Linked DNA regions of Drosophila melanogaster. Changing the gene in region 1 together with any one later gene gives a genetic interaction. Each region holds a gene or a part of one and is shown in the gene's direction. Other genes may lie near its edges.

Evidence for each region. Genes that interact genetically often act in the same process or in processes that back each other up.
Region 2: of Ced-12 (region 1) and spg, changing one enhances a phenotype caused by changing the other (phenotypic enhancement), as found in Drosophila melanogaster (one study listed by BioGRID).

The regions. Positions count from the first base shown.
Region 1 is NT_033779.5:12,096,109-12,101,489, forward strand, and holds Ced-12 (Ced-12), read left to right. Parts: upstream 1-1,729; 5' UTR 1,730-1,842; coding exon 1,843-1,954; intron 1,955-2,247; coding exon 2,248-3,258; intron 3,259-3,318; coding exon 3,319-3,870; intron 3,871-3,933; coding exon 3,934-4,433; 3' UTR 4,434-4,731; downstream 4,732-5,381. Other genes in the region: CG6712 (uncharacterized protein), read right to left, coding at 1-312; Mt2 (methyltransferase 2), read left to right, coding at 478-538, 588-1,564; patsas, read right to left, coding at 5,140-5,331.
Region 2 is NT_033777.3:28,843,542-28,848,299, forward strand, and holds the start of spg (sponge), read left to right. Parts: upstream 1-1,758; 5' UTR 1,759-2,425; coding exon 2,426-2,459; intron 2,460-4,758.

The DNA.
Region 1 (5,381 bases):
GCGCATCCAGCTGAGGGGATTCAAAACAGGAATTCGTGTCTTCTTGTCGTCGTCGTCGTCATCATCCTCTTCTTCGTCGTCGTCGTCATTCTCCTCCTCATCGTCGTCATCATCCTCTTCCTTTAAATCCTCACTGGCTTCCCCTTGTTTGGCCGTTTTTTTGCTGCTGGAGGCGGCTTCTTCATCGCTGCTATCAGTGACTGGCCCCTCCTGGACTTCCAAATCCTGTGGCTCCTCCTCGTCAAAGCTGGAATCGCTGTCCGAGTCCTGTTCCACGGGCGGAGGGGCTGTTTTTCGCTTAATTTTTATCATTATTCCGAGAGAATCACGAATTCACAAAAATGCGAGCGGCACGTGTTGATATTCTTCTTCTTATACCAATCACACGGAAACGCAGACAATCTGCTGTGTGGGGCAGTGTTGGAAAACGTGCCACTCACAACGTGTAGTTTGTAAACAAAAATATATTTAATTAAAATGGTATTTCGGGTCTTAGAACTATTTAGTGGCATTGGCGGCATGCATTATGCCTTTAATTGTGAGTTCGTCGATCATGATACATGCGAAACTAATATATACTTTTGAAGATGCCCAATTGGATGGACAAATAGTTGCCGCCTTGGATGTCAACACCGTGGCCAATGCGGTTTATGCGCACAATTACGGCAGTAATTTGGTGAAAACTAGGAATATTCAAAGCCTGAGTGTAAAGGAAGTCACAAAGCTTCAGGCCAACATGCTGCTGATGTCCCCGCCATGTCAGCCCCACACTCGCCAGGGATTGCAAAGGGACACGGAAGACAAGCGATCGGATGCACTTACTCATCTGTGTGGACTGATCCCAGAGTGCCAGGAACTGGAGTACATACTCATGGAAAACGTCAAGGGTTTCGAGAGCTCACAGGCGCGAAATCAGTTTATTGAATCGCTGGAGCGGTCGGGATTCCATTGGCGGGAGTTTATTCTAACGCCAACGCAATTCAATGTGCCAAATACTCGATATCGCTACTATTGCATCGCCCGCAAGGGTGCAGACTTTCCATTTGCCGGTGGAAAGATCTGGGAAGAAATGCCGGGTGCTATAGCCCAGAATCAGGGTCTTTCACAAATTGCCGAGATTGTGGAGGAAAATGTATCACCCGATTTCCTGGTGCCCGACGATGTCTTGACCAAAAGAGTGCTGGTCATGGACATAATACATCCTGCTCAAAGTAGATCCATGTGCTTTACAAAGGGCTACACCCATTACACCGAGGGCACGGGCTCTGCATACACACCGCTTTCGGAGGACGAATCCCACCGCATCTTCGAGTTGGTCAAGGAAATTGACACAAGTAATCAGGATGCATCGAAGTCGGAGAAGATTTTGCAGCAACGCTTGGACCTGTTGCACCAGGTGAGACTGCGCTATTTCACGCCACGGGAAGTTGCTCGTCTAATGAGTTTTCCGGAGAATTTTGAATTTCCGCCAGAAACAACGAATCGACAAAAGTATCGACTGCTGGGAAATAGTATTAATGTAAAGGTTGTCGGTGAACTTATTAAATTGCTGACGATAAAATAAAACAAAATACAACATATTTGCTTGCTTATTTTCACTTTAATACATTTATTAGCTAGGAAATTACTCTGCGCTGTTATCATTAAAATATTTATTTCAAATCCACATAATTTTCCCGCCCAGTGTTGCCTATGCCACAAAACGCAACGGTTGTGTGCTGTGTGATATTCCATACTACTTGTCAATTGGTCACACTGCACTGAATTAAAAAAAAAAAGAATATAAGTTTACGCAGAAAAACAATAATAATTGCAATTATCGCTAATTGAAAGAGTGCCAAAATGATACCAAAAAAGACGACGGTTAAGGATTCACACATTGTGAAAATAGCCGTGGAGCGAGAGGACCATATAGCGCAGTTGATAAATCTGGATCAAAGGCATCCGCTGGCAAGTGAGTAAATAGCGGATAAAAACAAAGATTTTTCGCTTGCTGAGCAGCAGTTTTAAAGAGAATCTGCTTTAAACATGTAAAACAAAGTTCCAAGAAGTTAATAAACCAGAATTATGTTGAAAGTAGCAAAGGAACCCATCATAAGGGAGGAACTTCCAACCAACGCCCTTCGCTATGTTTAAGTGTTATCGTGATGTCAGCGCACTCATTTCCTCTTTCTCATTTATATGCAAATCATACAATTGGTCAGGAAGTTGCTATTTACAGCGTATTAATGCCGCCTTCGCTTGCAGGTAAAATCCAGGAAATTTGCAATGGTTGGTCCATCAGCGATCACCAGAACTATGCACTCCAGTTCTACGAGCCCACTAACCGAAAGTACGTGACCGAAAAGAATCGCAATGAGATCAAGAATGGCTCCGTACTGCAGCTGCAGTATTCGCCATCCAAGACTGCCTGCGATGCCATGGAGGTGCTGCTCAATGGCAGTCCACAGGAGAAGGCGCTGCGTCTAAAGGAGCTCACTTCCCTAAGCACCGATCACACATTTGCCCTGGAGTTCATCAAGGAGAAGGGTCTCGACACACTCATTAAGATGATTGAGGATGGCGGCCAGACCAACGAAGACATTCTGAAATACAGCCTGGCCAGCTTTGTGGAGCTGATGGAGCACGGCACGGTGTCCTGGGAGGTGCCGGAAAACTCATTCGTGGCCCGCAACATTGAGATCGTGCGAAACTTTCAGAAATATCCTACGAACTGTGGTGAGAGCGCCCTGTCCAACTTGGAGAACATTGTTATGTGCAGCAATAAACATGTGCTTGTTGCCGAGGACATCAAGCTGCAGGATATTCTCCGATTGCTTCAGGATGTCAATTCGCCGGTGATGCGACAAAATGCCATAGCCCTGCTGAACGCTCTGTTCGTCAAAGCAGACGAGGGCCGCCGCAGGACCATTGCTCAAACTATTAGTGCCAAGCAGTTCCGCCTGGCCCTTATCGGCAATGGACTGGGCACAGAGATGACCCACCAGCTGTACGTGCTGCAAACGTTGACTCTCGGCCTGTTGGAGAAGCGCATGCGTATGAAGATGAACGCGCAGGACCAGGACGCGCACGAGAAGATCAAGGAGCTGCGGCGCATTGCCTTCGACGATAATACCAACGCTTTGAATCAAAACGACGATCACATCCGTCGTGGCGGTGGCTCCGGAGCTGGCAATGTCAACTTCTCGCAGTACTACAAAAAGCTGGGCTTCAAGTGCGATATTAACCCTGCCCAGGATTTCATTGAGACGCCGCCGGGTAAGAATATGTTCTTATATTAAAGCTATTTTGGTTGATAATCCGAAACGTATTTCTCAGGTATATTAGCGTTGGATTGCATGGTGTATTTTGCACGCAACTACACGCAACAGTATGCGAAGATCGTCAGGGAGAACTCCTGCCGTGCGGATGAGCACGAGTGTCCCTTCGGACGCACCTCCATCGAATTGGTCAAGGTGCTATGTGACATCCTTCGCATCGGCGAGCCACCAGCCGAGCAATCCGGTGACTTTCAGCCCATGTTCTTTACGCACGATTCGCCGTTCGAGGAATTCTTTTGCATATGCGTCATTACGCTGAATCGCACATGGAAGGATATGCGTGCCACTGCCGAGGACTTCAGCACAACCTTCAGCGTGGTGCGGGAGCAGATCCAGCGCACTCTAAAGGGCAGACCCGAGAACCTGGACGATTTCCGAAACAAGATCGCTTTGTTGACCTATCAGCAGATCACAACACTGCGCCAGCAGGAGCGCACTTCGAAGGAGGAGTGTGATTCCACAGCTTCGGCGATTGTTAAGCTCAAAGAGAAGATATCACCGCAAATTCTTGAGCTAATCAAGCAGCAACGGCTCTCTTTTCTGGTGGAAGGTACAATTTCTAATAAATACATTTCAAGGGCAATCTTAACATGGATAAATCTTGCACTTATAGGTACACATTTTGCAAAATACTTGCGAGGCACTCGAACAAAGGACAAGTTCTGGTACGCTCGTCTTTCGCCGAATCACAAGGTGATTCATTACGGAGATTGCGACGAGAAGACAATACCCACCATGGAGGAGTTGCCCAAGAAACTGCCCATCAGTGAGATTAAGCAATTGCTAGAGGGCAAGGAATGCCCGCATATGAAGGAAACTCGCATTCGGAAATCGGCGGTAAACCTGGCCTTTTCCATCACCTTCGAAAACATGGAGCACTCTACGTTGGACTTTGTGGCACCCGACGAAAGCATATTCAACTACTGGACGGATGGAATAAACGCGCTGCTGGGTCAACCGATGGTCAGCAAGCAAAAGAACGAGGACTTCGACACTCTGCTGTCGATGGAGATCAAATTGCGCCTGCTGGACACGGAAGGTGTGGACATCAGCAAGGACCCACCGCCAATACCGGAGGATCCCGAAAACTATGATTTTTGCTTTGAGAGCTAAGCATAACGAGCACAATTACTTCACGAATTATTCGATTCATTCTAGACTCCCCCATCACCCAAGATACATGCCAAAGTGTACACACAACATAATCGTATTCTCCGATCTGATCTTCTACTAGTATTACTTGTGCAATTCCCCGAACACAAAATGAACAAACTGGTGACGGTCACGTCCAAGTGACTAACCGCTGCCTAGCCATTTAGTGAACTTTACACCATTTATGATTATAATAGGTATATAATATATAGAGATCATTAAATAACACATTTTATACATAACAATTTTGTACAAAAACTAACAAGAGAAGCGTATTCTTATCCAAGCCTAAAAGGTAATTAGTTAGTTAAAAAAAGCAAAAAGCACGGCTGGCCGATGCTTTGAACACCATTGCGGAAGGAATTGATTTGGAGCCGTTAACAATAATGGAATCTTAGCAATGTAATTTATTGATGCTCTGAATTGCACTTGGAATTTGCTATCGATTTGTCCTTCCGCAAGGATATGTTGATTGCAATTGTAAATGATAAAACACGCACTTGACGACCTTTGGTTCGAACTTTAAAGCATTCGAGTAAGCAGTAAGCCTGCGGAGCAAAACCAAACTGGCAGCCTACCCGAGTGGGTCTCTGGCTGCCTCCTCGCAACATTATCCACGCACGGGCAGCTTGCGCCGGCGAGCAGGGGCTCGATCCTAGATCCTTAATCAAATGTTATCCTCCAGCAGGAGATCGTTGTCATCGCCCCGGTCCGGCAGGCAGACAAAGAATTCGAGTAAATTCAGGATGGGACCACGCGAGAAGGGATTCTGATATCGTCCGCGTTTGTCCCGCAAGTAAGGATAACGCTTGTAGTTAAACATCTCGTTTGTGGTGAGATTCATGCAGGCGTGCAGGATCTGCCAGTGCAAATGATGTCAAAACGATTAATATTTTTGGAAAAGAAGCA
Region 2 (4,758 bases), on another chromosome or scaffold:
AATTACAATTAGAAGGGAATAGCAAAAATAAAAAATATTTCTCCAATAAGTGAATTCCCATTAAGCTAATAACCAATTTTGCCACCACATCGCCCCATCCCACCCACTGTGCGGTTTTTTGGCTTGGCACACATTTTGCATACGAAATATTCGCGGCAGAATTATCAAAGAAAAAAGAATGGAAGATTTGCGGGGGAAGGAAAAGCGGTAAAGATGATGACACCGCGAGCCATCAAACCACAGGGAAATGTACGCAAAAACATTAAATAATGAAACTACATACTAACTACTGTACATATGTACATATGTATGTACTTATGATTTCTGTGTGTGCATTTATGAGCTGGTTTAATGAACGCCACTTTTGTTTTGCTGCCCGGTTGTTTTGTGTCTTTGCCGCCGCGAGATGATGATTATGTAAATTGTAGAAAAGTAAAAGGGAAACTAAATACGAGCGCATGCAGTGTGGAATTGTGTTTTCCTTTTCTCCCATGTTTGTGGGCATGTAAGACAATCGAGCGTGCCGATATTAACGTATTTTCCTTAATGCGGTGATTAATTATGCTGAGGTGAAGTTGAATGGAAGTGCTCGAAAATAGTTATCAATTAGGCGTGCCACAATCACTTGCAGCTGTTGGAAAACTAAAACGAAAACAACAACAACGAAACAAACGAAACACACTGCGTTTTCCAACTGATAAAGGAGCACTCACACACATAGACACACACATGCACGCACTTTGCACACCCACACTAGGGCGCAGTCGCGTTCTGATTGGGACCTTTATTGATTTTTCCTGTAAAAGGAATCGGCAGGAGAACAGGAAACTACTAAAGAGTATCTCATGCTCCAAGTTGAGCTAAACACATTTGTATTCGCCAGCTGTATATGGTGCGCATTTATTGAGTAAACATTCTGCGTTTTATTGTCAGGCCCAAAAAGAACAATTCCAATTGGAAGAGTCAGCGACTATACTCCCACACACACACGAACCCAGAGATTCTCCGATTGGCGTACCTTGACTAAAAACACAATTTCTCGGCAGCTTCCTCGCCCACCAGATGACACATTTCCCGCTTTATCACTTGTTTGCCCACAGATATTGCCACTATTTGGATTCTTGGCTTGTTTCGCGACAAAACAAATACGCAGCGCGGCCGAAATTCCGAGTCCGCTTATCAACAAAAATTGCGACCAACCGCGGCGAGCAGTGTGACTGTTATATCGAGAATTCGAAAAACCAACAAGAAATAGCTGCTAGGGATGGGAGAATGTAGCGATATCTTGGGATCATATATATCGCTTGAATATTTACTTCGTTCGTAATATATTTATACTGCAATTTATTTTCTAACCTTAAAGATTTAGTGCTTATATTTTATTCATTATATATCTCGGTTAAGTAATACGTACACCGTTAATTTAAAAGAAAAAATTTAAAAAAAAATGGGATAGAGTTAATGGGGCCGAGTCAGACCAACGCTATGGACTGCATATTAAAACGGATTTGGTATTGTTTTGTTTGTTAAATTATTGAATACATTGAATGAATGTGCCTCCAAAACTGTAACTGCGAATTGGTTCGGGTCTTAGCTAGACCATAAATACCGGTGTGACCGTCACCGCTAAAATGAAAATTCCCTCAAAAATGCAATAGTAAATAATCCATCGCTTAGCAACTGGCCACACTGCAACGTATATAAGCCGACGAATCCCGAATTTTGTTGTTGTTCTTCAAACAGCTGAGCGGCGGACGGATATTTGTTGTTGCTGCGCCCGGGAAGCTGCGCAGCGGAGAACGCGAAAAATAATAAAACGCAAAAAATAGCGAAAATTAAACGCGTTGCAAGTGCAGCAGAAAACAACGGTAATAATTCGCGAAGCCAAGGGACAAGCAATTTAAATTGCGCACAGTGTAGAAATCCAATTGGAAGTTCGGCTGGGAGTCCCAAATTCGTATTGATTTTCTTGTTTGTGTGTGCGCGGGTCCGTGAAAAAGGCAACAAAAGCAAAGCCACCACTTCCAGACTTCCCAATCAGCCACTTCCTTTTCTTCCACCTAGCGGTAATCATTGCCAATTGGAACCGCGATCGTTGCCTTCCAGCGACAACAACAATGTAGCAAGTGTATTTTCTGCTTGTAGTTGTAGTTATTAAACAAGATAAAGTGCGAGAAAGAGAAGGAGATAGACAACAACAAAAGCGAAAGTTTTATTGAGTGCGTAGATGTGTACGAGTGTGTATGTGTGCTATTGCGAAAAATTGTTGATAAATATTGGCCGTTATAAATGCGAATTCAAATGCAGATATTTGCCGATGAAAAGGGTGTTTCCTCAAAAAACCGTTGATTAATTATAAATGCAAGGAGTGGCCGGCTAAGTTGGATTTTTTCGGCTTAACTTGCAGCGAAGCAGCAGCGACAAAATGTGGATACCTTCGAACAACAAATACGGAGTTGGTGAGTAAATAATAAGAGTAGGCGGTGTGCCACCCACTTTTCCAAGCTACCCACCACCCCCCGCTGGGCGTCACGTGCGCGGCCTTTGTTTTTATTGCTGCCTTTTGCGGCGATTCACGCGTTTTTCCGCGAAACGCCGGATACCATGCCAACCACCCCCGCACGTTACCGAGCGGGGAGGAAAAGCGACTTTTCTACTTATTTTTGTACACAAACTGTTTGTAGCATCATCATCCCCCAGTTCACCGCACCGCCCCCCCCCCCTTTCCATGCAGCGTGTAGTGTATCTCAAAGAGATTTCCCTGTTTGTTGTTGCTGCCGCTGCGCTGCGATTTGATGTGTTTATACACACAGTTTTCCGCGCGCTCAGTTTTCCCGCACAGCGCTCGGCTGTCGCGTTGCCAATTTCCCCCCAGCCCAGGTGTTGCCAATTTAAATGCTTTCGTAATTACGAACACCTAAAAAAATGTTTATTTCGCAGACAAAATATATATTTGTCCAAGTTCATATGGTTGATTTTGATTTGAAACGTTTCTCTGATTCTGATCTGAAAATAACTACATCTTAATTATATTTCCTAGTATGCTAATATAAAACCTACTCGGTAGATAGAATATAGAAATGGGAAAGAAAAACGCTTCAGTGCACATGGTAAAAACTATTTAAGATCTCAAGAATCGAAACTTGCTTGCTATGGACTTTATTTTTCTCGTTACACATTTTACTTGGAATATGTTGCTGGTTTCTCTTGATATATATATTATATCTATAATATTATATCTATTATCAAGCTTTAAGCAGAATAAATAAACAGCAAATATATTTTTGCCTGCACCACAGTCTACATTTAAACGGTTACCACTGTGTAACCGGCGTGGAAAATCAAGTTGCGTGTTGTGATAACACACATGCGAATAATACAAGTGAATCTTGGATATTCTTTGGGCAGCACAATGTGCTGGTCTTGGTTTCTCCTCGACTGGGATGCTCCATTATCTTCGCATTCGTCGCACTTCTCGCTTCAATGGCAGCGCTTAACAAATTACTGCGGGGACAGGGCAGGGAAGTAGTCAACAAAATAAAATAAGACAAAATAAAACAAAATAAAATAAAAGAGCCAGCGAACGACAACGGATGATTTGCTGCGGACGATGTACTACGTACAGCATCTTCAGTGGCAGACTCTGTGCCAAGTTTTATTCATTGTGCCGCTTCAATGGGTTTTCTTCGCCCAGATAAGCACCAATATTCATTGTTTATGGGATGCTCTACCCAAGGGAATATGTCCTACGATGTAATGCCTAAAATGTTTCCATAAAATTAATAAATATTGCTTGATCAGTTTGGCATTCTATATTGCTTCTATCTTGGTGGTAAAGGGTATGCAGTCTTCGTCAGTACCATCCAAGTACTCTTCATTACAGCTCCGTTTTTGTGCTCCAGTCGCTCCAGTTCGCCATCAATCGTGGCGACAGCTATTGGCTGCTGTGCGCTGACATTTGCTCCACATTCAACCCGGCAGAGATTGACATGAGAGCGGTCAGAGTTTACACAAATCAATCAGTCAGTCAGTCATCGGGCAATCCAGCGATCCAGGCTGGTTTAGCATCATTAGCGATACGAGGCGCTGGCAAGCCAACGCCCTAACCTTGCACAATGCCCAGTCCCGCCTCCTTGCGCACACTTTGGACCTACTTCCTTGGTTCCCGGCCCACTGTCCTCCTCCTGTCGTTCTGTCCTTTCATCTGGGAGCGCCACGTGCTGGCCAACTGCAACTGCTGGGCAATGACTTCATTACCAGCGCGTTCTTTGTCCGCAGCCCTTGGTTCTGCGCTTCTTCCCCTATAAGTAATTATTGTACCGCTCCTGCTGCACATACAGTCGAACATCAATAACTTGAAAGCTGAAACCACCATCTGTCACGGGACGAATCATTTTTCAAATGTATCAGGCTTTTACTCATGTTTACATTCAGTTTTTGTATATTGAGTTCGCACATGAAACTGAAAGCACTTGGGAAAAGTATTTCTTTCATAAACTTTAGGGATAGTTTAATAAACTCTACATAAAGGAAATAATATATATTAATATGGAATTTTAGTAGTATGGTTATAAAGCTATTCTATGGGAAAATCCATTACCATCTTCTGAATGTGTTAACTGAATCTACTGAATGGAAATTATTGGTAGCTTTTATTAAGTTTCAAAAGGTTCAATCCAGCGAGGTCGGACTGTAGCTGTGCCCTCAATTGCGCAGTGAGTCGCGTGCACAATGGTGACAATTCCGCGGAGCAACCCT